Linked DNA regions of Mus musculus: all the other regions are reported to be linked to region 5. Evidence: microRNA targets listed by miRTarBase, many of them from high-throughput screens and not tested one by one. Region 5 holds a microRNA gene; each other region holds the end of a gene's coding sequence. Distances are from middle to middle.
Evidence for each region. The annotated mature microRNA mmu-miR-467f reads AUAUACACACACACACCUACA and lies in region 5 at 3,344-3,364, opposite strand. An mRNA with a match to its seed (bases 2 to 7 or 8) in the 3' UTR can be bound and repressed. Matches are read on the target gene's strand: a 7mer-m8 pairs with bases 2 to 8, a 7mer-A1 pairs with bases 2 to 7 and ends in A, and an 8mer does both.

Region 1 (5,074 bases), not on the chromosome of region 5:
TGAACAATAATTAGAAGCATCTAGGCCTGAATTACATGGTTAACAGCGATTCTTTAGTCCTGGCTTTGCTAGTAGTCAAACTGTGTGGCACTGGCTAAACCACTGAGATTCCCCAGTCCCCAGCTGTATTAGTTGTTCCTTCTAAAAGCACTATTTGGTGATTCTATATCTCAAGGCAGAGGCTGTCACTCCACATTCGTTCTCTCTGTCCTGTTCTCTGATTTGCACCCTTGCTAAGCCATTGTGTCTTGCTTTCCACCAGACCCAAGAGGCACTCACTTATGGGAGTTCATCCGAGACATTCTCTTGAGCCCAGACAAGAACCCAGGACTGATCAAATGGGAAGACCGTTCGGAAGGCATCTTCAGGTTCCTGAAGTCAGAAGCTGTGGCTCAGCTGTGGGGGAAAAAGAAAAATAACAGTAGCATGACATACGAGAAGCTCAGCCGGGCTATGAGGTGAGCTAATTCACGTTCTTCCATGGCCAGGCCAAGAGCTGGTGCTCCCTGCCCGCTCAGGCTGAATGGCCACCTTACTTGTTTCCTTCTTACAGATATTACTACAAACGAGAAATCCTGGAACGTGTGGATGGACGACGGCTGGTCTATAAGTTTGGGAAGAATGCTCGTGGATGGAGAGAAAATGAGAACTGAGGCTGCCAGCCCTTGGGACACAAACCAAAACACACAGCAAATGGATTCTGATCAATGAAGAACCGGACGTAAATATCTCAAAGACTACTTTTCTGTGATATTTATGTACCATGAAGGGACAAAGAAAATCTACTTCTGACGGGAAGAAGGAACACTACAGTTGATAAAAAAAAAATTATTTTGTTACTTTGAAGTATGTCCTTTTGTGGGGAACAAATGTACACAGTTTTCTGTGAACTATGAAGCTGTATGTGATTGTGATTTGCTGTTGCCTCTTCGTGAAGTTCTTTTCTACCCCCAAGAACAACAGGGCCTGTAGCCTTGTGCTTCTTGCTAAGAGGAAGGGATAGGAAATGAGGGCATTAAATGTTTTCAAGTGTAAAATGGTTTAGAAAAGAAAGGCAATGTGTTCTCTGCACCTAAGCATCTGTGTGACCTCAAGAGAAATGGGATTGGGTAGGGAGGACAAAGTCCAGGGTCTCAGATTGGTGGGATCAACCCAAAAGATGCTGGGAAGTTTGACTTGAATTGGGAGATAGTGAGTGGAGAGTAGGAACTTTGACAGTCCAGAGTGGCCTATAAGCACAGCATGATCACAGGACTGGGAACGTTTAAATACGGCAGGTGAAGAGTTTATCCTCAGTTATGGACAATTTTCATGTAGACCCTTCATCCTTGAATGGTTGGTTAAAAAAGTCAGTTACCACATGCAGTCACTTCTAGCTATTGAAGAGTTCAGTCCAAATATTGAAAATTAAGTGGGACAGGAAAATAGTGGCCTGGAAATGATCGATGAGCATGCTCTTGTATCTCTGTAGTTCAAGGTTTCTCCATGGGTAGAGTTGCCATTTGGGGTTGGGTCATTCTTTGTGGTGAGGGTTATACTGGGCATTGTAAAATGTGTGGCGATATCCATGACCTCCATCAGCATTTTGTAACTGTGACAATCTGAAGTGTTTCTAGATATTGTCAAATGTCTCTAGGAGGACAATAGTACCCTTGAGCGAGGACCACCAATTGAAATGGACAGTATGAAGGCAGTCGTTCAGTCTCAGAATAGAGAGATCTATAGACACTTCTAGTCTCTAGAGTAAAGCAAAAGCAAGACCTTGAAGTCAATATATGTTTATTTTTTAAAATAGTAGGGACAGCAGGATGAGAATAAATGGAGGAGATTCTTTTCAGAGCTTCACATGAAAACCAAAGTCAAATAAATGCAATGATGTATGGAAAGTGCAAGAGAAGTTGTTTGCACAGAGAATGCAGATATTGCAGAAGACAGTGCCTAAGGCAGAGTCTATGGATGTCTCTGTGTGATTCTCTCTCTCTCTCTCTCTCTCTCTGTGTGTGTGTGTGTGTGTGTGTTTGTGAAGTTACTAGGGGCCTCTGTCAGTTTTCTCTCTGCTTCTCCTTCCCTGTCTTTCCCTGGCTGTGGTCGAGGATGGCCAGACCACATGTCTTGGGTTCATTTATTCCTGGGTTCTCTTATTCCTGTAACTGGATTTGACCCTTCCTACACCTACTTCATTATAGAGCTATTGCTGTCAGAGAGTAGGTGAATCTGGAGAGGACCAGTGGGAACAGTTCTGCAGATAAACAGATTATGCTGTTGGCTGAGAGTGGCAGTTTCTTGGCACCCAGTTCCCATTTAAATAGACGGGAGTATTAAGTTCTCTGCATATCTATTGTCTTGGCTTGAATTTGCGGTGTTTTCTATGTGCTATTCATGACTTTGAGAATTCCAGGTAATCAAGCTATGCCAATTTGGGGTGTAGTGGTGTGCTTCCCACCACAGTTTGAAAAAAAACAAAACAAAACAAGACATGAAAGTCCTACAGAAAAGCACCTCTTTCTTTAGGGGATCGTTACCTAGTTATTAAGTTCATCTGAGATTAATTGGCCACAGGATCACTAAATATAGTTTCTTGAATATTCCTAAGTGTTCTATTAGTGGTTTCCATGGGAACTGAAATCAAGTAATGGACCATTAATACTTCACAAGACTCAGATCATCTGAGACTCCTATAGGACTTGATGAAATTAAGCAAGGTCCTGGATCCCAGAAACAGGTCCACAGGTTCTTCGGTATGCCGAGCAGGAGAGACAATGCCTGAGTTTCATTCACTGAGCCTTCCTTCAAGTTCCCAGCTGATTAGACTGTAAGCTCGCCAAGGGCAGGGAGCATGTCTGATCACCTCTGTTATCCTCATACCTGGGATGCAACAGGAGAACTTCTCATGAATGAATGATGACTGTCTTCTGGGAGACTCCTCTGGCTGGGAACCCATCAGTCATATTCATAACTGGGATGTGAATCACTTCTTCAGAACAGAGCATAATAACTAAACCTTCCAGGATGAGAACATTTTACTGTGACACTCTCCTTTGCCTCCCACCTATGCTGAAAAGAAATTCAAACAGCCTGCTTGGTTCCACATGTCAGTGTCTGCTGGATGAGAATTCTGTTGCTTTTTAGAACTGTGAGACTTAACCTGGTTACAAGATGCCAGTAACGAACCCTTGATCTATTTAATCAACGAAGATTATAAATGTGTTTATATGATGTCAATTGCTATTTAAGCAGGAACCCATTTTCAGTTTTGGTATTTAGGGGTTGGTTTTTATTTTTTGTTATTTTTTTCTTCCTTTTTGAAAAATGCTGAGGGATATTTTGATAAGGTTAGTCATGCATGTTAGGTTTTCATTTTGCAAGTATGTCTTTTTTAATGTATAAAAATATAAGAAAAGGGAGAACAGTAAGAAGGGGAAGCACTTACATTACTTTTCAGTACTTTATTAAAGCACCTACTGGGTGCCTTGTGCATAGTGAAACACCATATATGTGAGGAGTATATGTGAGAGAATAGACTATAAAAGTCACACGATCTGGACCTGCAGAGGAATACTGACTAAGAGAAGGAAACACCAGCATGGCAAACTTAGTGTTAACAGGTGAGTTACCCTCAGCTGGGGACTCAGGACTCAGTTTCTGGAATAAGGGAGACCATTAAGAAAACCAAACTTCTTGGAACTGTATCTCACAAACTTTTGAAACATGTAGACTTCAGAGTTCAGCTGAATTTGGATTAATCATTCTGTAGCTATCTGTATAAATCTCACTCTTCTTGCCACCTGGCTTCTGGGTTGATAATTGGTGGGCGACAACCCTTCTGCCACTGTTTTATTTTTATTTTCATTTTTATTTTTATTATTTTTTAAATCATGACTCTTTCCCCTTAAGCTGTTAAATTCAAACAATTTATGTTTAATGAAAGAATTCTGTTTTGTTTGTTTGATGGGTCCCAGAAAACACTAATAAAAAGCACAGAGGCCATGCTGGAGATGTGTTTCCTTCCTTGGGATAATCCACCCTACAGACTAAATGTTGTAACAGAACATGGACAGCTTTGGTATCTGCTTAGCACTCAGTGGTTTTCTTTCTTTTTAAGATTTTTTGTGTGTATGTGTGTGTGTGCCTGTTTTTCTGAATGTAGACCATGTGTGTGCAGGTGTCCTTGGAAACTAGAAGAGGTGTCAAGTTCTATGGAACTGTAATTACAGGTGGTTGTGAGTACCAACGCAGGTTCTGAGAACCAAATCCAGGTCCTCTACAACAGCATCAAGCACTTTTTTCTGTGGAGCCATCTTTCCAGTCTCCACTTGTTGGCATTTATGTCTTCTGTGCCAGACATAGAGCATGAAACAGACAAAGATACTCAGCTCTAATGTAGCTTATATTCTTTTAGGTGGAAATGGATAAGGAAAATCAAACCTAGCACATCAGATGTGTGGACCAAGGGAAAGGATTGGAGAGGATAAGAAGTGGAGTTGTGTGGCTAGTTTAGGGAGGGCTGAGAAGACATTTTGGTAAAGGACTAAGAGTTATAAGAGAAGGAGCCTTAGATGACTGGAAGAGTGTGGCATACCAAACGACCAGCAAATGTGAAGGCCCAGAGGCAGGCATGTTACTGTCATATCTAATGAACAGTAAGTAGACTTTGCAGAAATAGACTCACAATGGTTGGGCACAATGAAAGAGAAGCCAATCAGGGCAGACCAGAGCACAGAACTCCTGGAGGCACACATGAAGGGTCCAGTCCTCAATTTGTGTAAGGTTGGGGAGTTCAAAGGTTCATGCTTTAACTCACAGTTCAAATGATGGTTGTCCCAAGAATGAACTGTAGGACAGCATTTGGTGCTGGGTGTACATTCTCAGTTGTGGGATGCAGCATAGCTTCCTCTTTCATTCTGCCTTCTAAGATAATGCACATATTGTTTTCAATACCTGAGCTCTGCTCTATGATGGCACCTTTCTCTCTGGACCTGAGTCTGTCACCTAACCCCACGGGTGTAATGGAAATAATAGCTAATTGCTTGGGTAATATATACAATGCAAGCTGGTGATACGTTAATTCATTTTA
Region 2 (5,074 bases), 46 Mb from region 5:
CTCTGGCACACACAGCCCAAAGTGTTTGCTGCTCCCCACTAGCCAGTATTGGCTATTCTTAGTGACATGGGTATATATACCCTTGTGGGTTTTAAATGTTAATAAAGGATTCCTCTAATCCCACCTAGGACTTAGGAGTGTGTCAGAGCGGAGGGAGTGAGGTATGAGGCTTCTTTGGAAAGTGGGCGGGTTCCCACATGCTTGCCCTCCCTGGGGGAGCCAGGAGTCCAGCTTCCAAGGCCGCCTGGCAGCATGAGAAACACCGCTTCCCTGCTCTCTCTTGCAGCAGCCAACCTACGTCCAGGCGCTCTTTGACTTTGACCCCCAGGAGGATGGCGAGCTGGGCTTTCGCAGAGGAGACTTCATTCATGTCATGGATAACTCAGATCCCAATTGGTGGAAAGGGGCCTGCCACGGGCAGACCGGCATGTTTCCCCGCAATTATGTCACCCCAGTGAACCGGAACGTCTAAGAAGCAAAAGAGATTATTTAAAGAAAGTGAAAAGTTAAGACCGTTCACAAGAATTACACCCACACGCTGCCTGTCACAGCCTGTGAGGGAACGCAGAACACCTGGCTGGGTCCCACGGGTGACCCTCTCATTGGGTTGCAACTTTGGGGGGTGGGGAGGGGTGTTTGATTTCATAATGCCAAAACTTAACCTATTGAATGAATTACAGTTTTTATTACGGAATCTCGCCGCTACCCCTGTTCCCCTCCTGTGTCCTTTTTCTCGTTCTTTCTTTCCTGTCCAGTGCATGATGTTTAAGGCCACATATAGTCCAGCTGATGCCAATAATAAAAGACAAGAAACCAAGTGGGCTGGTATTTTCTCTATGCAAAATGTCTGTGGAGATGGATGGACTGAAAGAGCCGGATTCCTCACACACAGGGGCAGCCAGTGCTTCTGGGGCCCTGGTTGGGGTTCACCCGAGATGCCCAGGGGTACCGCCTCCAGCCTCAGGCCTGGAGCATTCCATCAAAGTTGGAATTAGGGGAAGGAGGCCCACTGTCCTCCCCGGTCTCCTGAGAGTCAGACTGCAGGCCCTCCCCTCTCCCACTGCTTCCCTTCAGGTGTTTTGACGTTTTTTTGTTTGTTTGTTTGTTTTTTTTAAATAGTGCCTTTGTCTTATTTCAAGGGTGTTCATAAATGGTATTTGTACCATTTTTTTTTTTAATAAGTTAAAGACAGTCCAGAGCTTTTCAGTTGATTCGTCTCCTATCCTGTGTAAATATTTTCCTCTCAGGGCAGGGGAAAGAGGACAGAGAAAGGAGCTGGTAGAAGCAGAGAGTGTATTTCCCATCTTGAATGGGCCGGAGGTCTCGAAGCCTCAGCTTTTACTTTGTGAGCTGCAACACTCGCTTCAGCTCAGACTCAGTGGACATCAGAGTCTCTGTCTCCGTGTCTCAGTTATGGTCTGCTCTCTCTATGCCTGGAGCTACTGATCCAAACACAAGACGGTCAGAGGAGCCCTGGCATCCTTCACTCTTATAGGCCTACATGCAGATGGGCTTGAAGAGAATTGGCCTTTCATTTTTCACGCTCGTATTTCCCCACCTGTCCAAGGGTGCAGATAGCAGGATTGTGGGGTCGGCCGCATCTCTCTTGGCAGTGGGTTGTGCTGCCCCTCCCCCCACCCCACCCCTCCATCCCACAAAGCCTTTCGAGGTAGGAGAGACCAAGACCAGTGCACAGCTTTTTAACTCTTGTCTTCTGTGAGTTTTCCGTCCTCTGTAGTCACGTGCCTGCACACCGTTCTCTCCACCCTGCCTCCTTCCCACAGCAGAAGCAGGGCTCCACCCAGGCCTTCCCTTGGAGTCGGTGCATCCATGGGCTGCTAGACTCTTGCGGGTAGAGTCTCCCCTGGACTTAGCATTGTGAGATGGACTCAGCTCAGGGCGCCCCTAAGGCTCGGAGGCGGCCTTCTGGGTCCCCACCTCTCCTGGTTCCGCTGCTGCTCTCCCTGCTGATGATAAAGTAATCTCTGGAGTCACACCTGGGCCATGTGATTGTTTTATTTTGGAATTGGTGTATATCATGAAGCCTTGCTGAACTAAGTTTTGTGTGTATATATTTAAAGATCAGTGTTTAAATAAAAAAAAAAAAAAAACCAACTATGTACTTACTCTGACTTCTGCGGACAGCAATTTGGTAGGTAGTGATTAACTGTGAATAAACGTACAATGAGTTCTTAACTGTGTGTCTTCATTTCTCCCTGATGGTGTTTTCAGTTTATTTTTTTATTTATTTATTTTTTTCAAGGCAGGGTTTCTCTGTGTAGCCCTGGCTGTCCCAGAACTCACTCTGTAGACCAGGGTAACCTTGAACTCAGAAATCCGCCCATCTCAGCCTCCCAAGTGCTGGGATCACTGCCCGTCCTGATTTTATTTTATAGATGGGGTCTCACTATGTTGCCCTGGCTGGCCTCAAATTCGCAGAGATTCTCCTGCCTCTGCTCCCAAATGTTGAAAGTAAAGGCTTAGAGTATGTTAACTCTGGCCGGCATCTCCAGACCCTGTGAACCTAGGACGAGTGATGTAGCTCATTATGTGGAAAATGGTTTAGACAAGAACTCAGAAGAACCCAGAGCTGGGCTGGAAAGCTCCTCTTCCCTTCCGAGCTGAGGGTGTGGAAAGGCTAATCTCTGAGGAAGTCGGTGAGGCAGCTACATGACACAGCCGTGACAGTGGTCTTTTGGGTGAGACAAAGTTGGTAACCACACGGTGCTGGCTATGACGCGGTAAGGGTTGAGGCTTGAACAAAAGAGGATTCTGCCGAGCAAACCACCTGAACTGGTGGCTAGGAGGCTCCCGGGTGCCACCTGCTCCTCCCCGTTGCGGTGATGTGCATGTGAGAGGGAGCTGTGCTTGTCTGGGCCAGCTGAGCAGAGAGCTTGGGCTGACTTTGAACTCCCTTTGTGTCAGTTTAACCCCTTCCTGATTGGGGGGGGGGGTGTCATTTTTTCCCCAGTGCTGAGAACCCAGTGTTTTACACTTGCTAACAAGCACACTCTCCTTGAGCCCCCTCTTTGTTCTTCAGGTGATCACAGTGTGTGTCCTGCCCCTCCCCTGGGTCAGATTCCTGGTGAGTTATCCAGGCTGTGTATGTGTGCCCAGGGCCAGCTCAAATGTGTCTCATGATAAAGGCTAGGCTATGCAAAACCTTGAGGATACCACTAGCCAACCTGGCCCATCATAGTGGCCCTGCTGCTCCCTCCTGGTCCCAAGACTTCATCGAGCACCAGGAGCCAGGTGCAGAGTGAGATCGGAAATGCTAGGATGGACAGCTACATTGGTTTAGGTCATCTGACAGCACCAGCCAGCTGTCTCCTCTTGACACCATTCCTGGGCCTGCTTATGGGCTAGATGGCCTTCAGACCCAATGTTTTTTTTTTTTTTTGTTTTTTGTTTTTAAAGGTTGATTTGTTTATGTATATGAGTACACTGTCACTGTCTTCAGACACACCAGAAGAGGGCATCAGATGGCTGTGAGCCACCATGTGGTTGCTGGGAATTGAACTCAGAACCTCTGGAAGAGCAGTCAGTGCTCTTAACCGCTGAGCCATCTCTCCAGCCCTGGATCTGTTTTTTTGTTTATTTGGTTTTGTTTTCAAAATTTTGGAGATTCTTAAACATTTTTTATTTTATGTGTATGAGTGTTTAAATATATGTCTGTGTACTATGTGAGTATGGTGCCCTACAGGATCAGACCTAAAACTGGAGTTACAGAAGGTTGTAAGCTGCCATGCAGGTCCTGGGAACTGCCTCCACCTCCTAAGAGCCAAGACCATGTTCACGGCCTATACCATGAAGCCCAGTGTGGAGTTCTGGGGTCTCTTCAGCCTCTCTGTGGTAGTTACCATCACAAACCTAAGCAAAACAGGGAATGGCTGTTCACACCTGTAACCCAGCACTCCAGAGGCTGAGGCAGGAGGATCAGGTTGCATCCCAGGTCCCTCTGGGCTACAGAACTGAGAGCTCCATTGTCTGTGACAAAGTTTAAGGGAGGAGGACATTGTTGATGGTTGACATGACAGTCCCATGTGCTGATGACTCTGAGTACTGGGGTTTGGCCAGCCCACTTAAAATTAATTAAACCCAGTCGAGTTGGCCGAGCAGCAGGTAGAAGGGACTTGCTACCAAACCCTCAGAGCCATCTGATGGAAGGTGGGAATGTTGGCCTCTGACTTTTATACACTATGACACTGTGTGTGTGTGCGCGTGTGCGTGTGACTGCCAGGCATGACACACCTTGGAGCACAGTACTCTGGAGAAAAGGCAGATGGGATCTCTGAGTTCAAGTCCAGCCTGCTCCCTGTTATCCATCTCCAGGCCAGGCAGAGCTACACAGTGAGACCTTGTCTATTAAGTACAGGCTGGAGGAGCTAAGAGAGATGGTACTTGCTGATAATCCCAGTACTGAATAAGATGGAGACTTCTAGGCCAACCTGAGCTACATGGTAAGACCAGGGTTCCTAGACCAGCCCTGGCTACATGAAGAGACAAGATCTAGAGAGCCAATTTACAAGGCATACTGTACTCTGTTCGAATAGAGACCACTGAGAGCAGATCCAGCAACAGTCTTTTCAGCACACCTGGCATGGGGCCTAAAAGGCACCGTGCTCTCGGTCTGAGTCAGCACTCCCCTGTCTGCCTCTGCTTCCCTTCTCTGTGCTGCCCAAGGCTTGAGGATGTACATCAGCCTCTCCCATCTCCTCGGGGCATCTTCAGGACCCCTGGTGACAGTGTCCTCCATAGGGGTCATGGCCTCTTCTGCTCTGGATCAAGGGGACTTCCCCCATGAGGAACTGGCTGAGGAGAGCCACGTTTATGCCTCACAAATGAGCAGCCTCCTCCACTCCTGCGCTGCAGACGTCACTGAGTCATCCCGAGCCTGGAAATCACCACATTCGGGTCTTCGACTGCACCGCCAGGGAGGTGTTCCTCTGCCTAGATGCTTAAACCTCGGTGTGAGCCACGAGCTGGGTGAATTCAGACAGGAAGTGGGGTATGCAAATGGGGTAAGGATGGGTGGTTAGGGAAGATAGCATCAGGTTGATCTGTTGGTATAGTT
Region 3 (5,074 bases), not on the chromosome of region 5:
AGACCTTTATTGCCATAAAGCAGAGTAACTGTGTTTGATTTGGACCTTGTTGACTGTGAACTCTAATCGGGGCAGGCGATGCAGCATCCTCATAATGGCCATGTGGACTTGTAGATGGGTCTCTTAACCCTTGCTTAAGAATACAGTCTGCTGTAGAGTGTGAATTGGGAATACTGTTCCATGGGTTGGAATGCAGCTCCCCTCACATTACCAAGCTTGCTCTATTGCCAATAGCATGCAACATATGTTTTGTTTGCCCTTCTGCTTCTACTTTTTTCAGGGAAGCTGCTAAAGAATGTCGACGTCGAAAGAAAGAGTATGTGAAGTGTCTTGAGAGTCGAGTCGCAGTGCTGGAAGTTCAGAACAAGAAGCTTATAGAGGAGCTTGAAACTTTGAAAGACATTTGCTCTCCCAAAACAGATTAGTAGAAATATTTAACTATGAACTGATTACAGCATGTACAGTTGCTTTTGAATGCAATACAATATATAGCCGGCAAGAATTATGGCTTTTTCCTTTGTATCATTCATCTAACTTTCTAAAACTAACATTCCTAAGATGCTTTGTTGTATTTAATTTGCTCTTACCTCTAAGGTCAATTTTTTAGAAGAGACAAACTGTAAAAAATGTATGTAACAAATTCTTAAAATGAAGTATTTGTAAGACTTGTTCCAGTGCAACATATTTACAGTTCCCAGTCTCTCTGTCATGAATAGTGTCCTATGCAATAAAAATTTTGCAGGTTTTAAGAATCATTTTAGGAAAGGGTGATCAAAGGCAGTGCATCTCTCCAGTAGTAAGATAAAATCAACCCATAGAGATACCTCAGGAAAGAATGAAAGGAAGTGTATCCTGATGACATGACTACGTGAGAATAGCCTACAAATGAATTTATGCATTTATAGATTTTTATAATCGTCACTTTGTAAAGAAAGTATTGTATTGCTGTCCTTGGGTGCCACAGTTGAAGACAGTTTTAAATAGAACCATGTTGGTTGCTCTTTGTACTATTTGGTATTTATTTAAGTATCTGAGCATTTACTACAGCTTCCTACTATGTATGTAGTATGTGAATTTCTACAAAAGTTTGTGCTGCTTTGCTGTTATTTAATGAAAGAGACAACATATTTTCATTATCTGGAATGAGTTCCACAAGTATGAATTTATTGCTACACTGGATCAGCAGCCTTGCAAATACTGGGCCATTTCATTAGAGGACAACTGCAGGGCTCTAGGAGCAGAGTTCAGTGTGGAGCACTTGCCTGGCATGCTACATGTTCAGTTGAAAGGGAAGACCTCAAGCTCTGCAAATGGAATGGGGTCCAGGGGAAGAGGTTAGAGGTTAGCCTTTGTGCTGTACTAGGCTTCTTGCTGATCGTCTGGAGAGTTTCTGCTGATGACCCTCCATTGTGAATTCTTGCAACCTCAGGAATGTTAACGTTTAAAAAACAACCCAAGATGTCATTTTTGATTTTACAACTTGGATCAATTTTGTTTTGCTCTTTGGAATATAGCTGTGTACATTTGTCACGTAGGTTTAGGCTGGCCTTAAACTCACAGTTCTCTTGCCTCAGCCTTCTGAGTGCTTGGATTACGGATGTGGGCCAGAATATCCAGTTTGATCAAGTATTCTTTTATAAAATATTACTTTCTTTTTAATTGCCTGTGTGTATGTCTATGTGTATGTGAATGTGGGTTCCCAAGAAGGCCAAAAGCTCCCCTGGAGCTAGAGTTATAGATAGTTGTGAGCCTTCCAACATGGGTGTTGGGAACTGAACTCAGATATTCTGCAAGAGCAGCACATGTTCTAAATGACGGAGCCATCTCTCCAGGTCCATGATAAAATATCCTTATGCCAGAACATTCAAATGAAATTCATTACAATTGTGATAGCTTTGTTACTAGTAGCGTCCATAGTTGTTTTTATAAGGAAAAGACTCAAGGTATAAGCTCGGATCCCTAACCCTGTGCTATGTCATCTTTCTCTCACCAGCAGGTACGGATTAGACAGTGGGCTATAGTCGCTGCATTGCCTATGGCTGATCTCTGATTTGTTAAGAACCTGCCCACCTTCCTTCACTGTCAACAGGGTTGATAGTGGATCTGGTAGTGGGTAGGAGGTGGTTTGGCACCCAGTTACCATTTCTTTATCTTTAACTTTTCCTTACCTATAACTTCTAAAATGTAGGTCCTGGTTTTGTTTCTGTTGCCACAATAAAATGCTCTTGACAGAAACAACTTAGGATAGAAAGAGCTTAGTTTAGTTCACAATTCCAGGTTGGATAATCCATCAAAGCATGGAAGTCAAGGCAACAGGAATTTGAAATAGCTGGTCACACACACACACACACACACACACACACACACACACACACACACACACAGAGAGAGAGAGAGACAGAGACAGAGACAGAGACAGAGACAGAGAGACAGAGAGACAGACAGAGGGACAGAGAGTCCGAGAGACAGGGAGAAAATGACTATGCATACCTGGTTACCAGCTCATTTTCTTACACAATCCAAGACTCAAACCCAGTGAATGGTGTGTATCTATTAACAGAATCAAGGTAACTTTCCACAGACATAAGCCCATAAGCCAACCACATCTGGACAATATTTCATTGTGACTCTCTCCACAGGTGAATCTAGACTGTGTCAAGTTGACAATTAAAACTCACCAGCAGGGCTGGTGAGATGGCTCAACGGGTAAAAGCACTGACTGCTCTTCTGAAGGTCATGAGGTCAAATCCCAGCAACCATATGGTGGCTCACAACCACCCGTAACAAGATCTGACGCCCTCTTCTGGTGTGTCTGAAGACAGCCACAGTGTATTTACATATAATAAATAAATAAATCTTAAAAAAAATCTATAAAACTCACCAGCATAGGAACTAGAGAGATGTCTCAGGAGTTAAAAGCACTTGATGCTCTTTCAGAGGACTTGTACTTGGTTTGCAGTGCCCACATGGTGCTCAAATCTGTTTATAACTTCAGCTCCATAGGGTCTGATGCAGTTTTCTGATCCCTGTGGACACTTGGCATGCACGTTGCACATACATTCATACACAAAAATAAATCTTTAAAACATCCTAACTAGCCAGGTGGTGGTGGCAAACACCTTTAATCCCAGCACTGGGGAGGCAGAGGCAGGCAGATTTCTGAGTTCGAGGCCAGCCTAGTCTACAAAGTGAGTTCCAGGACAGCCAGAGCTACACAGAGAAACCCTGTCTCGAAAAAAACAAACAAAAAAACCATCCTAACCATCATAGCAGAAATACCAATTTGAGTTTTATTTTAATTTTTTTTTCTGTGGTGTCTCAGCTCTGAATTTTTTTTATCTCCTTTCTGTGATTTCTTTTATACTCTGCTGAGGACACAATACAAAAAGAAATGGGGAAAGAAAGCCCAGGTTTCAGGTGAAGTACAGTGCATCCCTTGGCCAGAGCAGTTGTTTGCTCTTGGGTAATATAGCAAGACAAAGGAATTGGTAGACCAGATGTCAACCTGTGAGGTGTTTCAGGTTAGAGAAGCAGGTGGCATTAAAAGAGGAGACTTTATGGAGGAGTTTGATTTTGACCTGGGAATGCTGGGAGCACTTAAATAGTAAGTAGCTTAAATAGTAAGGAGACATTTTTTTATATCACACAAAAAGTCCACATACAGGAGATCCCACAAGTACCTTAATTCAGCTACTTAAACAGTGGAATTTTGGCTAGAGTCTTTCCTCACCTAGCCCATCCTCCTTTCCTAGTTCCTGATCCTAATGTTGATGGCACACTTCTAGGCAGCAAGGCTAGAACGGACAGGCACTCACAGCATCTTGTCTTGTCTTGTCTTGTCTTGTTTGTTTGTGAGACAGGATTGGGTCTGGAAAAGTAGTAAATAGGCAACTAGGAATGGCTTCTGTGGACTGATCAGTGCTTAAAAGCATTCATAAAATTAAGGACAGCTTGGGAGAGAGCTGGAATTTGGGCTAAACTCTCAGAGATACACAGGAACTCATTTTCCTTCTCATCTAATTTCTTCCATAAACCAAGCCTTTGCCACTCATTCAGAACCATCAGGTGTTGCCTGTTGTCTCCCAGAGAGCAGAGTGAGAAGTAACTTGGAAGATTTTCATGAACATTATATGTATATCCTGTACTTCAGTGTCATGTGGAATTGAGAGCTGTCACTGTATCTCCCCCACCCATCTTCACAGTTTTAGAATCTAGGTTATGGGCTGTACAAATGACTCATGCTGGATTATGAGATTACAGCATGATTGTGGACACTTTATGATGGTAAGTCCCATATAATGGGAGGACACAGAAAATACCTTTATGGACTCTTTGTTATGTCCAGCACACACTCTCTTCTATGTGTCTAAAAGGCTCTTAAAACCAACACATTTTTCCCTGCACATACCAAAACCAGATAATTTTGACATGTGAGGAAAGCACAAGCGCCACTGGTTGGCTCTCCACAACATATCCTGATTCCATTCTGCTTTATTGTAGCAGCTCCTTGTTTCTAGAAACTCAAATGAAATGTGCCTTAGTTGTTTTTTGAGATCACTCATGTCCTAGTTTTGTTTCTGTTGCTGTGGTAGAATATACTGACAGAGAGCAACTGCACGTTGAAAGGGCTCATTTTATCTCAAGTCCAGGTTGTACTCCATCAAAGTAGGAACACCAAGGCTGCAGAAGCTTGAAGCTGTCATGTCACATCTACAGTCAAAGTAGAGAGAAAGAGTTCCTGGCTACTACTGCAATCCCTCACTTCAGACTATCTTCCCAGGTGATTCTACATTGTATCAAATTGACAATTAAAAGGAATGTTCACAACTTGATCCTTTGTAAACTTGACATGCAAAAATATTACTTTAAAGTCACAGTCTTTTATCCGAAGTCTCCCACTTACCTCATGAAATATAGGCCAACTTGAAAACTCACCAAAATCTTAGAAAGTCCAAAATATCTTAACTGAGAACCTTTATAAAATGAAAAACAAGTCACACACTTTCCACGTGTTCACAACTTTATTCTAAGCAGGAAGAATACACCATAGAAAATGATTTGTCCTATCACAACA
Region 4 (5,074 bases), not on the chromosome of region 5:
GATGGAAATGAACTCTCAGGTGGCCCAAAGGTGAAAGGACACCATCTCACTACCAGCAGGGCTCCCCTGATGGCTGGCATGAGCCTGAGCTTTAGAATTACTTTGCAGTGTCTAGTGGTTTCCCCCTTCCTTGGTTTCTCCAAATGAATCCAACCATATCTTTTTTTTTTATTTTTAAAAAGATTTATTTGTTTTATTTTATGTTTATGTTTGTTCTGTTTGCATGTATGTGTATATGTGTAGATATAGATATAGATATAGATATAGATATAGATATAGATATAGATATAGATATATATCATGTGTGTACCTGGAGCCCTCAGAGGTCAGAAGAGGGTATCAGATCCCCTCAAAGTGGAGTTATGGATGATTATGAGCCCCTTGTAGGTGCTAGGAATAGAAGCTAGGTCCTCTGCAAGAACAAGTGCTATTAACCACTAAGCCACCTTTCCTGTTCAACCACATCTCATAGGAAAGCCTTGGCTGAGCATGAGGGTCACCTAGGATTCATACGAAGTCCCCTTCATTTCAAGTGACACCTCCAGGACCTTACAGGACCATTTTCCTTCTCATTCTAGGGCCTCTGAGTGAGAAGCAGGAAGCTCTGATGACCAAGAGCCCTGCATCCAACACACGGCGTCCTGAGGATCGTAGTCTGGGACCCATGTGGCCCATCACCCAGAAGATTCTGCGTGAATTCTATGGGCCTTTCAACACAAGGCTGGCACAGGTCTTGGATGACGAAGCATTTGCCTGGAAGACAACGTGAGAGCTGAGTCCCTTCTGCAGAAGCTGGGCCCACTGACTCTGTCATTGCCATGACTTTAAAAGTCTCCAGGCGGAGAACTGTCACCCACAGCGTGGAGAAAGCCGCTGGAGCCCCACCCAATCCTCTTCTCATGTCCAAGGCACCTGGTGTGGGAACTATTTTAAAGCTTTCCTTGCCATGTTCAGCAGCTCTGCTCTTGATTGCAAGGCTCGTCCACCTGAAGCCTTGGAAACGACACTGGGGGTAGGCTTCTGTCTGTTCCCAGAGTGCCTTGGATCTCAGGAGGGCAGTGGATCTCTGGCACCCAGTGGGTAGGAAGAGGAAGCTACGGGAGGCCATAGACCAGCCTTGCCTTCCTTCCTCCAGGAGAGTTTGTCTGGGTGTAGGGTTGGACAGCTCTGGGATCCGATTAAGGCCATGTTCTGGGGCTGCCCCTCACGTGTTATATCCCAGCAGGCCTTGCATAAATCGACAACCCCATGTGGACAGAGAACAGAGCTGCTTGGAGAATGGAGGCTCTTTCGTTTTTGTTCGTATTCCCAAGTCAGCCCTTCGGTGACATCAGAAATGAGCCCTGTTCCCTTTGCTGTGCTCAGAAGAAACTCAGAAGTCAGCTTTTGGCAGTAGGCTCGTCTCTCTGACCTATTCTGCCCATACACTTTGTTTATGCCCAGCGTAGAGAAGGAGCGTTTTAAAACAAACTGCTTCTCGCATTTGACTGGCCCTGCCTCTCTTTTCTGCTCCCTTGGATGTTTTCCTTAAGGACTTCAGTTTATATTTGGAAAGGGAAGTTTTGCTGTTAATGCCAGAACAGAACACCTCAAGGCATCGAACAGTGGAAAAGGAAGGAAGTGAAGCCCTCCCCATTTGTGGGGGTCACTGGAGAGTGTGGGGATGTTTTTGGTTCTGGCTGGTTACAGGCTCCCCCCTGTCTTCCTGTTGGAGGAATCTTTATCCACATTCTCTGTCATGTGCAGCCAAAGTTCTGTAACTCACTAAGGGTGAGTCTCAAGACACCCTTAGAATGTCCTCAGAAACACATCTCACAAACTAAGCTCGGGCCACATGTGGTGTCACTAGGAGATAGCTTTGATTTTTATGAACCTTTCCAGGCCTGCTAGCAGCTTGGTTCGCAAAGGATATGCTGAAAGTCTTGTCATTTTAAAAAAAAAAAAAGACCCCAGGGAATACCAGAGAGAACAACTTAAACCCACTTGGCACACAGGACAAGGTGGGGATGTCACAAAGCTTTTCATTGGAGCGTTGCCAAGGGATGCTGCCTGTGAAGCTGTGTTCTCAGGTCAGGATCCTGTTCACCAGCGTCAGAAAGTGTACACACCACATGCCCGACTGTCACTTGGACGTGTGAGAAAAGCTGGGCTTTGGCAGCAGGAGGCTGTGCAGTTGCTCGACTGTGTGAGTTCTGCTGCGGTCCACCCTTGTTGGAGATGGGACTCTCAGCTCATTGGAAGGTTCCGGGAGAGCTCTGGGCATCAGCATGGACTGGGCTCGTTCTGCTACTGAAGGGGCTGTGTGTCATGTGGCCTGTGTTCCAGGACAATTCTCCCTTCTCTCACGGTGGCCACTTGGCTCGGCAGCCAGTGGGAAAATCTAGCCTGAGTACAAGGATGCTTTGGGAAGAAATGACGAGAGAGAGAGAGAGAGAGAGAGAGAGAGAGAGAGAGAGAGAGAGAGAGCGAGAGAGAGCGCAAGCTCAAGCGCAAGCGTGTGAGAAAGAGCACGAGAGAGTATTTATTTGGAATACCGTGTGTGTGTGTGTGTGTGTGTGTGTGTGTGTGTGTGTGTGTGTGTGTGCGTGCGCGCGCGAGTGTGCGCGCGAACACTCGTGCTTATACTGAGCAGGGCCCTCTCAGCTGTCTTGTTGATGGGGCTTCTCCTCCATTAGAGACATGATGCCTTTATGAATTAATTTCTCCAACCCTTCGCCTGTCATTTCCAGGACATATCTTACTGCCCCACACCAACCACGACTCTAAGAGATTTTTTCTGACGCACTCCTATGCATGTGAATAACATGTCGCGTGATTCTGCTTCTTACAGAAGTATTGCCAAAGGTATTATTTCCAATATTATTTGGTTCATTGCTGATCTTTTTTTATACGTGCAGCCCCTTCCTTTCCGCCATGCGTGGCCATCCGGACCCAGTCTTCTCTCTATTGCTCCCTCCCCGGGGGTCACCGGCACTGCCTTTGCTTTTGCTCGGTTGGAGCCCCCTCTTGTTGAGAGCACAGGCAGTGTTTTGGGTGATGGCTCTTGAGCCTGTCACCCCAAACCAAAGCGAAACACAGACCTGGTACCGAAGACACTTCGTATTCCCAAAGCCGTGTGCCAGGGTGTATGACACCTTCCCTCCCTTGTCGTGTAAGGTATGATATGCGAGTCACATTTATTCTGTACTTTTACTCATATTTAAAATAATTAAAGATGGACCCACACAACTGGTGCCTGCCAAGAGTGAGTCCTCCTTCACAAGCTTGCTGGCCAGTTGTTTCCATGCTGTTCTGTGCGCGTGCGTGAGTCCCGGGGCGGGAAGGTCAGCACTTCCCCTGCCTTCCTGACAGTCCCAGAGCAGACACAGGGCCATACTCATTCCCTGGGGAATTCCTGTGGAGGCCTGCTGTGGTTGGGAGTCAGGGTGGGAGGTTCCATCCAGCATCAAGTGCCCTTCACGTGGTCGTCAGACATAGGGATCTAAGACTGAGGTGACAATGGGCTTTCAGAATTTGAGTTTGAGATCCTTGGTGCGTCTTGAGTGTGACTCATCCCTAGGCAGGCAGGGTCCCGCTGGCACTCAAGAAATATGGGCAAGCTTGGAGAAGGAGAGGGTGTACCAGTCATTGTTGGTCACCTTAACAAAGTAACTCAGGGCACCTTACACACCTTTCCACAGGTTTCCTAATCAGCACCAACAGTGGTCAACCATGTTCAGTGTTCATGAACAGTGTTCAACTATGGGAGCCCATGGGGACATTTCACATTCATTCACCACACAACCCATGCTTACTGTCACTGCTCATGTGTCAGTCTAAACTCAGGGGGCCAGTGCATTGTTTTCTCTATGGCCTCTTTCTGTGGCTTCCCTGTGCCTGCTCTGTGACCTCCCCCCCTCACATGACCATCTCTCTGTGCAGGTCCCTGATACCTTTCCCTCTTTCCTTTCCTCTCCTTCTCCTTCTCCTTCTTCTTCTTCTTCTTTTTTTTTTTTTTAGTTTTTCGAGACAGGGTTTCTCTGTGTAGCCCTGGCTGTCCTGGAACTCACTCTGTAGACCAGGCTGGCTTCAAACTCAGAAACCCACTTGCCTCTGCCTCCCGAGTGCTGGGATTAAAGGCGTGTGCCACCACGCCCGGCTTCCTTTTCCCCTTTTTATAAAGATGTCACCATTAAGGGTCTCATTTAATTCATAACCTTTTGAAAAAGAATTCTCTTTTTACTCAGAGGCTCAACCCATTTGGGACGTCAACACATCAATTTGAGGAGAGGAGTAGTTGCAAGAGGGCTTACTTCCCACTTAGAAGCTTGGATCATGCTGAGCACAGCGTGGTCCTTTGGTCAGTCCCACCTTTCTCCCAAGCCCTGCTCCTCATTGTGATGTGTTGAGTGTGGAGCTAGACTTAGCACAGCCTGGGGCTGGCTTCCCTCAGCAAGAATGCTGCTGTCTGAGAGGATAGCGGGTGGTGGATTTGAGAAGCCAGACAGGCCAGGGCATACTTCTGAAAGCTAGAGTTCCCTGTGCCTGGAGCTCTCCCCTACCCTTGCTGCTAGGAAACAGCCTGGGTGGTGCTGTGCAGAATGGCATTTCTCTGTTGGGGTGGAGACTGCATCCTGAGGAGAGCCTTGGGCCCTGTGGGTGAGGCTAATCTAGTGGAGACTTGCAGGAAAAATGAGCTTTGAGGAGTTTGGTTTTCCCTGAGCTTTGGAACCAGCTCCCCTGAGGGGCACCAGGGAAAGAACGTGGCGGGGCAGGGACTGTGAGCTTTTAGCCACTGCTGCAACAAAATCACTTCATCTGAAATGGCTGGCGATCCCAGAGAGCTCTGAGGAGTAACCCCCTTAGTCCAGGCCTTTGGAAGAATGGCCTGCAGCCTTGCTAACATCTATCTCTGTGATGGCTTCAGGCTGGCCTTGCTTCTATGACCCCAGCCCTGTCCCATTGATCGCTAAGGTCTTCATGGTGACTTCAAACACAGTGAATTTCTCATCGTACAGTCCCAGAGGGCAGCAGTCTCAGACCAGGCACTATAGGCTGAGGCAGGGTGGGAGCTGGGCTGCATCTCCTGTGATCC
Region 5 (5,073 bases):
ACAATTCCCGTTAAGCTTCGTATTCGAGCCATCTCTCTCTCTCTCTTTTGTTACTCCATGACAGTTTTTCCTGTATTGAATCCCCTCAGAATTTATGCATCAAGTTATGTGGCATTTTGTTTTTCATACGGCACTAAATTTACTAGAATACTAGTCAACTTAGGGCAAGCATGGTAATGACATGGCTGTAATTTTTGCACTTGGGAGGTGGAGGTTGGAGGACCTATTCAAGGTCATTCCCCCACTACCTAGTTAGTTCATGGTCAGCCTAGGACACAAGAGACCCTGTCTCACAAAACTTAAAAAAAAAAAAAAAAAAAAAAAAAAAAAAAGTCTACTTAAGCCAACAACAGTGACTCTTGATTCTCCTATGGATGCAGAGAGTCAACACATGCGCATGGACACCAAAGCCCAGCGCCTGCGCACTGGGCAGTTTTTGCCTTTTGGTTCCCCCCCCCCCCCCCTTTTTGGAGTGTGCGCACCAAGAAAGACAAAGGTGGTGAAAGTGACCAAGCAGTCATTCGGGCGCATGCCCATCCCTAAATTGCCCAGGCTCCATGGGGCTCACTTTGTGGAGGCGGAAGTCCAATCCGATGCAGCGAGCGCGGCCCCCCTCTCCCTTTGATTGGTTTGCTTCCAGTGTTGTGGGGCGGGGAAAGGAAGGGACAGGGACAGTGGAAGGTTGGAGTGGTACAGAGAGCGTTCGCCTCGTTCTGCGCAAGCGCAGAGAGGCGACCAGGAGGGGGCGTGAGAGAGTGCAAGAGAATGTGGAAGCCCTGACGCGCTGGCGAGCGGGAGCTGGGTCGCTAGCCTAGACGCCTGCGCCTTGGCCCTCCGGCTCCGCGCGCGGCGGGCGGGTGCCCTGTGCGCCTGCGCAGTAGGCGGCGGCAGCAGGGGGAGGTGGAGGCCGTGGAGCGGCAGCGGCGGGTCCCGGGACCGAGGCAGCAGCGGGGGCGCCGGCGGGCGGAAGCTGAGGTGACGAAGGCGGCGGCGGCGGCGGCGGCCGTTTCCCTCACGGTGGCGGAGACCAAGGCAGCGGCGGCGGCGGCGGACGGGGAGCGGCCCGGCCCCGGCCCCCTGCTCGTCGGCTGTAGCAGGGCCGCCGTGGGGCCGGCCCGGCTCCCGCCCCCCGCGGCTCCCCCTCCGGCTCCTCCTCCAGGGAGACGCCGGGGACCCGGCCCGGCCCGCACTCAGGGCTCTGTTTCAGCTGCTGCCGGGCCAGTCGGAGGTGGTGGCGGCGCCATGGGCGGCCTGGCCTCTGGGGGGGATGTGGAGCCGGGACTGCCCGTCGAGGTGCGGGGCTCCAACGGGGCCTTCTACAAGGTGAGACGGCGCGTCGACCCGGGCCACCCTCCTTAGCCCCCTCCCCCAGCCGAGGCAGGGAAGAGTGGAGCGGGATCGAGTTTCTGGAGCTTGGTCTTGACCCTTAGAACCTTCGACCCACGTTCCCACTCGAAACCCTCCCGTGGCGATCGTGGGAGTTAACCCTCGTGCTTTTATTTTGAGCTCGCTGTTACACCTGCTTTTATCAGCTGAAAACATGGCCATCAGGTCATTCCTGTGCGGGGATGGGAGCCCCGGGTCCCTTTGGAGAAAGCCCTTTTCCTAGCTTCTAATCGACTTTTCTTGTTTTTTTTTTTTTTTTTTTTTTTTTTTTTTTTTTTTTTTTTTAGTGTAGGCGATACTTCAGCTTTTAATCACATCACCCCTGCAGCCCAAGCACATGGAGGATTCGCATTCTTTTCCTACATGACCCCCTTGGGAAGGTCCACTGTCCCACATTAGGTCTTCAGGGAGCCTTCTGCCTACTGGCTCTAGACCATTTGCTCAACTTTTGGTCTTAAATTCCTGTTCCCAGGCTGACAAGAAATGGTCAAAACCCATCTGTGTTATTTAGCATTAGCATCTTTGGCCTCAGGTTTTTATCAGCCAGCCATAAAGTGGATTTGTTGGACAAGTTTGTCACCCACCACACCTATATTCCAAAATCACCTATGAGGGATGGATTCACGCTTATCTCTTTGACTCTAGATATATTTAGGTCATTCCTCTATCTTCTTGGTAAGTTTAAGCTTCACTGTCTCTCAAAGGCCATCTCAACAAGTTCTTATTCTAACAGATTTCTGCTTGTTGACAATCCTTCTGGAAAGAAAAAAAGTATCTTTCAGAATTGCTTCTTTAATCAGCTTTTTCTTTGCCTAAGATTTGATTCCTGTGAACTTTTTTAAGGGGTGTGGTTGGGACAAGATCCCCTCCCTGGCTGCACTTGAACTCTTCCTCAGCCTAGGATTACAGCTCTGGCGTTACTGGTTGAGCCACCATGCCAGACCAGACTTTTGTTTTTTCCTTCTTTCTATCCACCACCCACCCCATCTTCTGTATCTGTCCTGAGTCTATTCTGGATCCCACGCCCCAGATATTTTCTTCTTCTGATCAGTGGGGTTCTGAACATCTTTTGACTTTTATGAGTGGAATTGTCCCGGACACGTTTGGTCCCTCTCTTACTCTTCATCCTGGAGAGAAAGAGGAATTTCCATAGCATGAGATGGGTGAGAAGAGCCCCTTTTTCTTCAGGTTTCCTCAGGTTGTCTGTCCCCCTACCCTAGTAGAACTTCTACTTTCTTATGCCCTTGGAAATAACTTTCTCTGACTCTACTATGAAATTGTATCTTTTTTGTAGCTGAAAAAAGACTTAGGTTTGCCCTACCCCTGTAGATGGTTCCTACCCTCACTTCAACTGATATGCTAGTTATCCATTATAAAGGCCAGGCCATTTTTTTCCCTTTTCTGATCAAGTTCTTTACCCAGTGCCTATGGGTGCACATACCTATTAGCTTTAATGCAGCTTCTCAACTAAGTCTCGGTCTTTTTAGCTTGGTATTTCTGTATTCCTGTGTATCCTTGATGATGTCTACCTGTCTAGTCTGTGTATAGCTGAAGAAGGCTCCTAGCTGATTCTGTCACTTTCCTAACTCTTGGTACTTTTTCTTCAGACCAGAACAGTGTCTCTAACATTTCTGTTTTCTGTAGCAAAAGTCTTTAATTCTTTTGGCTTCTGAGAGGACACATTAATGTTTTAATATCTATTTCACCCACATTTGTATTACCTTTGTTAAAACAGTCTCCTCAGGCTGGGTATGGTGGTACATACTCTAACCCTAGTACTTAGAAGGCTAAAGTAGGATTGTTGAAGTTCAAAACCAGCATGGGGAATGGAATCCAGTCTAAAACAACCCAAACAAACCCAAAAAGTACTCTTTATTATGCTCTCTTTTCCTCGATATGTTAGTCTTCATCTGTATCCTTCTAACATCAAAATGTTAAAAATTCCAAAAAAGCTGTGTGTAGGTGTGTGTGTGTATATACATACATACACACACACACACCTACACACACACCCACCCCCGTTCGATTTCTGGGTACAGGATTTCTCTATGTAGCCGTGGCTGCCCTGAACTCAAACTCTGTGGGATAGGTCTGCCTTTGTTGAGTGCTGGGATTAAAAGCATCCACAACTACTCTTAGTTTGAAAAGTGGTTCTTAAATTGAGTATGAGATCAAGATAAGATATTTGCATTTGGTTTAAGGAAGCTCAGGAGCCATGCACAGCTGGGACAGATGAGTGCTCAGTTCCAATTAACTGTATGACATGGTTGGGCTGGGACATGAATTCTGTTACACATATGGGTATCCAACAGAAAGTCTCTCTTTTATCCTTTTATTCTGTGGGCCAGAGCAGTGATAGATTTGAGGGAAGCAGGGACAGGATTCTTTGATAGTATAGAGTTAATAAAAGCCAAATATTGAGTGTAGATTTTGTATTCTGGCCACTTCAGCACTTTCTGCTCCATGACTGAGTTAAAGACATTGCCTAAGTGTAATGTAGATACTTACCTATTCAAACCTTGCTGATTAATATTTATGACTCAGCAAACTTTGGTGTGAGTAAGGGATACTAACTTTTTAGATCTTTTACGTTTGGGGAGATTCTTTTCTCCTCTCACAAAACTGTTTTACTGTGATTTTTCTAGAGCCAGTAAATATCAGATCTGAGGTCTAAGTTATTTTAGAATTATCCTATCAAACTTGGCTTTTCTGTCAGGATGTGATGTGTTTTGTTAAGGTGGTTTCAGGTGGCTTGGGCTTTTAACCCGGGATGACCTTGGACTCCTGGTTTACTGTGGCCTTTCCTAAGACCTGGGATTACAGGTGCACACCATCAACCCCAGCTTCATAATGTGTTTTGTTTTGTTTTTGTTTGTTTTTTGAAACAAGGTTTTTCTGTGTAGCCCTGGCTGTCCTGTAACTCATTCTGTAGACCAGGCTAGCCTCAAACTCAGAAACCCGCCTGCCTCTGTCTTTTGTTGTTTTTTTTTGGGGTGGGGGGCAGGATATCCTGTGTTGCCCTGGAACTCACTCTGTAGGCTAGGCTGGCCTTGGAAGGTTTAGGCCACCACCAACCTGTTAAGATGGGGTCTTATTGTATAGCCTTGCTTTGTTGATAAGGCTAACCTTGAACTTGAGGTCTCATCTTAGCCTTCCACTGAAGTACATCCTCAGCCAGGTAGCCCTCCTCCGATCTCTTCCTTCTTTCTTCCTTTCCCTTTCCCTTCCTCCCTTCTTTCATTTTTAAAAACATTTCTCCCCATATAGAGACAGGATTTTTATACTTTGATAGCTCAGGTTACTCTGAAACTTAGCACGTAGCCTAAGCTGACCTCCAATTCTTAGACCCTCCTGCCTCAGGCTCCCCCCAAACAGCCAAAGCAGGTCGTATCTGAAGCAATATTCAGGGTTAGATGTTCTCATTATAAGGAAAGAATAGTTTTGTAAGTGGTGACTGGCCAGGTCTGTGAGGTGGGAACTCTGTATTCTCTAGAATATTATTGGTACATTTTCTCCTAAGCTCTGCCACTATCCTAGTTACTGTACTTAGGGCTGGTCCTTGAATATTGTTAGCCTTTTTTTTGAAGCATCTGGCTTTCTTACTGCTTTTGATGTTGAGGATTGAAATCAGGGCTTTATACTTGCTAGGCACACATCACACGGAACTATATTCTAGCCAAACCCCCC
Region 6 (5,074 bases), not on the chromosome of region 5:
CAATTAATAATAATTCTTGTTCCCCCTGCCCAAAACAAAGCAAAACAACAAAACAAAACACTGAGTTAGATTGATGCTAATTCTCCACTGAGTTCTGTTGTCTCTGACACAGTCAGAATTGTAGTGGCTTGAGGGTCAGGAGACCTCATTTCTCAGGGTAGCTCCACCCATTGCTTTTAGTTACTATTCAGTTGTCATAGGCTATGGCCTCACTGTTCCCAAGCTATCAAAGGCTCAGGGAGGTCATAAATCAGTAAAGACCTCTAGAGGGGTTCTTGGTTTGTATGACTTAGTGGTCAAGTATACATTTAGTAGCCACTACAAAGGGACAACAAGAAATGCCTTGCAGATTGTTGGAGCAATGTATAAGGAAGTACATGTGGCCTAGCTACTGTTTTCTCCTATGGAAAGCCAGGAAACTGAGTCTTTGGGGCACAGGTTAAGGAATCATGAGTATTCTTCTGGCTGGTACAGTTCTTAAAAAGCCATTTGTCATAGGGCATATTAAAATACCCATTAGCATAATCTTTGAAAACATGGTAACACCTAAAATCAATGACTCCTTTTATTGTAACACTTCAATATATTAGCCCCTAAAATGAGGTACATATATGGGATCTTTCCCAAATTAAGAGCACTGTGTCTTTCTGTTACCACACCTTAAAACTCCGACACTACTTTCAAGCCCCCCCCAATATGCTAGGACACAAATAGGGAAGGGAAAAAGGAAGAGAGACTTCAGCCTTTTTATGTGTTTGTTCTTTTATTTTTTCCATAGCGATCTTGGCCAATTCCTAACAAAAAATAAATAAAAACTGACAACAACTCATACATTATAGTGTCCTTCACTATGTCAAGGTACATGACTATCAAAGCTGATATTAACTGCAAACAAATTGATACAATTCAGTACTCTGATAACATTCATAATCCAATAAGTTTTAAGGTGAACACAATACAACTTTATGTTTCACTAGAATCTTTAATAGAAATTTTATACGAGCGATTCTACAGATTTACAAAGTGCAATGGCAGAGTGCAAACAGGCAAAAAGAGAAAATATGCTCTATGACATTCAAAGGCATCATGTGTCAATAGCAGAGATATCTTAGACAAATGTAGTTTTCCGTTAGAACTTTAAAATGTAGCCTGAAAGTGCTGTTTATGCTCCCCCTTTCCCAGAACATTAGAAAAGATTTAAAAAACGGGGAAATCAATCAAACTTTAAAAGAAATCTACAAAATAAAAAATTGAACCAAACGTGACAAATTTGGTTCAATAAAAAGATTTAAAGGCAACTTTTCAAATTACTGACGGAGTGGGACAAAAATTAAGACACTAGGCCATGTCATATATTTGCTAGAAACAGGTATCAATTCAATAATTGACATCTTTTGGCAGGCAAATTTAGCTAGCTGTCTTCAAAAGGACTCAAAAAAAAATCTTTGGCTTTTCTCACACAGTTTGACTCTTGACATAGAGGGGGTGAACCAGATGAAAGCAGTATAGTTATGGTCTAGTTACAAAGATGGGTGCTTTAGGTAGTTGGGGGTCTCATTTTTAAGGTAAAACTTTACTGTCAAATACAGAGCATGATGTCCTTGGTCACGGAGTGGATCTACTGGACTATGAGGTAGTCTTGATGGGAGACTGTAAGTTATACAATTATGCACCTGGGGTTGCTTTGGTTCTCAGTATAGTGTGTGTACTACCCTTGTTGATGTCCCTGTGTGTGTGTATACACAATATAATGGGAAATCTGTGTATGAACTGGTTGTCATCTTTTTTTAGGCTTGCTTAACATAATCTTCACTAGAACAATGAGTTTTTAAAACATGTTCACCCGACACCAGGAAGCTCCATCATCCTTTTGCATTATTTGTATGTTTTTAGGGGATAATAGGTGTATCCCAACCATAGTTTTTGCTGGACATGTGTAAGGCTCTGACTTTTATTCCCAGCTTTGAGGTCAAAACAACAATAGTAAAAAAAAGATACAGAGACGTAAATTGTTCCTGAGTTCTTTTAAAACATATTTAAAAATACAGAATGCTACCCCAAGGTTCTTGCATCTAGTTATGTGGTATGCCCAGGAATGCTCATAGCAGACCATAAGCATCATACCATATCATATACCAATATACCAATATCTAAAACGCCTGTTTTCAGCTTCTGTAGATAAACTGGATGAGTTTTAGCCCAGTTCTTGAAAAGCTTTAAACCTTTGTCTGGAGACTGGAAACAGGTTAGTGTTTCCTTTACCCAGTTGATGTCATTGGGCTTTCAAAATGTGTTCTCACACAGGATGCTGACTGTCCTTCAGCCAAATCAAATGGCAAAGAAATACACTTTTTAGATCTCACTGACCTTCATTCCCCTTTGTCCTTTTAAACATGAGTGTGGTGTGCTGGTTACTTCAGAAACAAAGAGCTGTCATTCTGCAAAGGCTGGAGCTGGTGTGTGCACAAGTTAGTGCACCAGAATGCCTTGTGCGCTGCTTATTCAATCTTTCCCTCATAGCAAGGCCAGGGCTTTGGATGAGAGCTGTGTGAACCTTCCAGGGATTTCCATGACTGGCTCCATGGAACATCAATGATTGGTCCCTTGGCACTTTAGAGGCCAGAGGCAACTCCTGATCTTTTTGTTACCTTAAACATATGCCAGGAAAAAGGTGGAGGAAGGATCGGCCCTCCCTGACCTGGTATGTGTTCCAGGGAGATTCCACCTAAGGTTGAGCATTTGGTGGGGCAGCCTCCAGGAAAAGGTGTTCTAGCAGTGGCTCTCGAGATAGCTGCCTGGAATCCTCTCAGTGACTCACGAAGACCTGCAAGCTGAGAGTGGAGGCCAGCCTTCTGTCTTTCCACAAAGGCAAACAAAGGACGAAGAAATGGGGCAGGCTTCTCTTTAGTTTCCATGGGTATGGATAATGAAGTCTACATTTTAAAAGCTTTCAAATGTGTTTCCCCTTTGGAAAAATAGATTGTGATTTATTTTTTCCTGTATTTTCTTTGCTTCCTGCATTTGGATATATGTTTTTTAAATGAAGCTTTAAAATCTGTAAAAAGATGTTGTCTGAACTGTGTATTGTAAAAAACAAAACACAAAACAAACAAAAACAAACAAACAAACAAACAAAAACAGAACAAAACAAAGAAAGAAAGAAAAACCATTTTGAATCTGGGCACCGTAATGTATGACTGTAACCCAGGAGGTTATAGCAGGAGAGTTAACCATGAGCTTGAGGCCAGTCTGGACTAGAGTGAGACTCCATGTTAAACAAACAAAATAACAACAACAAAACAACAACAAAAAGCAAAAACAAAACTCCTCTTGAGCATGAAATACAAAAGTACGTTTCCATATCAGTCAAGATCTGGTTAGCGCCCGCCCTCCTGTATTTTAAAAATACAATTACTTTGATTTGGATTCTGCTTTAATGCTACAATCCTTCAGTAAATTCCCTATAAAAATAAATACTCTAAAATGGGGTTCAAATTTGTCTTCAGATGTGGATTTTCTGATTGATATTCAAAGCAACAACCTCACATGATATACTCTACATAGGTGGAGCAGCTAATGTTTGTTAATGAATTTTTCTTTGTTCCCCTAGACACATCTGAACCCAATAGCAGAGATACTGAAGAGACATCTTGTCCAGGACTAGCTGGTTTGAGGCACATAAGTTATGTTTACCTCCTCTAAGTCCCATTGTTATTACTGTTTAATACATGATAATAAAGTCAAAGCAATTATCACAGACATAAGAAGTAGAAAATAAATTACTTATGCAATTGATTTGACTATACTACGAGGCTCGCCAACCACTGTGCCAAGCCATAATTCAGTCAAGTCAATTATCACAGACAGAAGAAGAAAAAAATAAATTACTGATGCAATGGACTTGACCATATCACTAAGCTCGCAGGAATGTCACTTGCAGACACCTCCCAAGCCACAGATTGGACATTGCTCTCTCTAAGCACTGCATCAGCTTAATGAACTTTGAAGCTTTTCAATAAAGCATTGTACTCAGGAAATTCTTACAAAAATATCAAATTTCTTTTGATATTAAATATTTTACATATAATATATTAGCAAATATATTTCTGTCAAAAATAAAACACTTTCCAATTGTATTAAAAATATAGTTATTGACCTAACAGATGACCCAACATAAATATTATTAACATGAGAAAATATTGACATCAGCCAGGCACACTGTGAATCCTTGTCCGTAACTTGATGGCACTGTTCAGACCTGTGGCAGCACTGGGTCCCCTGAGGTCACTCTCTCATATTCCTCCCTCGATTTTTTACTTTTTCGATTTTTGTACCTGTAAATAAACAGAAATGAAACAACACTGTAACTAACAGATATAAAAACAGGCCCTGAAATAAATACATAGACTCCAAGAGCTTATGTAAAATGCCCAGACAGAGGAGGTTTGAGTCAGGTAATGGGTAAAGCAAGAAAGCAAGAGAACGGTGTCCCATTGTCCAACCGTTTAGGTAAGAAATGGACATGGTGACACAGTTAACACTGTACAAGTGTTTCTCCCAGGGCTTGACATGGGCACAAAGCTGAGAAATGACAGGAGTGACTCTCCAGCATCTTTCTCTATCAGTTTTGCTCACCCGTATTAAGTTCTGGTACATATAGTGAGGAAGGCATCATCATCAGAGAGCTGCCTAGTACAAAATCTAAACAATGACTTTCTGGGGGAAAAAATCACTACAATCTGTACCAACTTCAAACTAATAAAAATAATCTGCAAACACTTTTATTAACACTATTATTCTAGTATTCTCAATTTTACAGGTCCAGTCAAAGTAAAAACCCTGACAATCTTTAGTTATATTTCTTTTTAGTTATCATTTTGTAATAATACCACTCACTGTAAGCGAAGAACCTTAATTATTATAGGATGAGAATTTCTGTCTGTATGTTATGAATAAATTATGTTCCTTACTTGAGTTTTATATGCACATAGGCAGACAGTAGAGGTCAGTGACTGAATGAAACCCCGGTGCTATGCAGCAAAACATCTTTGCTAGAAAGACAGCGCAGATTCCA

Region 1: miRTarBase lists Ehf as a target of mmu-miR-467f. Seed matches in the 3' UTR shown: 7mer-A1 at 3,381-3,387 and 7mer-A1 at 3,760-3,766.
Region 2: the mRNA of Grb2 is a reported target of mmu-miR-467f. Seed matches in the 3' UTR shown: 7mer-m8 at 2,030-2,036 and 7mer-m8 at 2,066-2,072.
Region 3: the mRNA of Crem is a reported target of mmu-miR-467f. The part of its 3' UTR that is shown has no 7-base or 8-base seed match.
Region 4: miRTarBase lists Chst15 as a target of mmu-miR-467f. The part of its 3' UTR that is shown has no 7-base or 8-base seed match.
Region 6: the mRNA of Ereg is a reported target of mmu-miR-467f. Seed matches in the 3' UTR shown: 7mer-m8 at 1,738-1,744 and 7mer-A1 at 1,658-1,664.

The regions. Positions count from the first base shown.
Region 1 is chr2:103,262,351-103,267,424 of GRCm38, reverse strand. It overlaps Ehf (ets homologous factor), which reads left to right. Exons shown (of 9, transcript NM_007914.3): 8 at 263-458; 9 at 554-3,992. The coding sequence ends at 653. Among named protein-coding and RNA genes, the nearest start is that of Ehf, 38 kb to the left of the region's middle.
Region 2 is chr11:115,641,167-115,646,240 of GRCm38, reverse strand. It overlaps Grb2 (growth factor receptor bound protein 2), which reads left to right. Exons shown (of 6, transcript NM_008163.4): 6 at 287-2,196. The coding sequence ends at 472. Among named protein-coding and RNA genes, the nearest start is that of Slc25a19, 15 kb to the right of the region's middle.
Region 3 is chr18:3,262,939-3,268,012 of GRCm38, reverse strand. It overlaps Crem (cAMP responsive element modulator), which reads left to right. Exons shown (of 9, transcript NM_001110859.2): 9 at 281-1,659. The coding sequence ends at 425. Among named protein-coding and RNA genes, the nearest start is that of Crem, 62 kb to the left of the region's middle.
Region 4 is chr7:132,233,969-132,239,042 of GRCm38, reverse strand. Chst15 (carbohydrate sulfotransferase 15) reads left to right here. Exons shown (of 8, transcript NM_029935.6): 8 at 579-3,263. The coding sequence ends at 769. Among named protein-coding and RNA genes, the nearest start is that of Gm10584, 79 kb to the left of the region's middle.
Region 5 is chr11:69,632,076-69,637,148 of GRCm38, forward strand. It overlaps Mir467f (microRNA 467f), which reads right to left and starts at 3,444; the gene lies at 3,325-3,444. Fxr2 (fragile X mental retardation, autosomal homolog 2) reads left to right here and starts at 896. Exons shown (of 17, transcript NM_011814.2): 1 at 896-1,323. The coding sequence starts at 1,243.
Region 6 is chr5:91,089,324-91,094,397 of GRCm38, reverse strand. It overlaps Ereg (epiregulin), which reads right to left. Exons shown (of 5, transcript NM_007950.2): 5 at 749-4,334. The coding sequence ends at 4,253. Among named protein-coding and RNA genes, the nearest start is that of Gm19610, 17 kb to the right of the region's middle.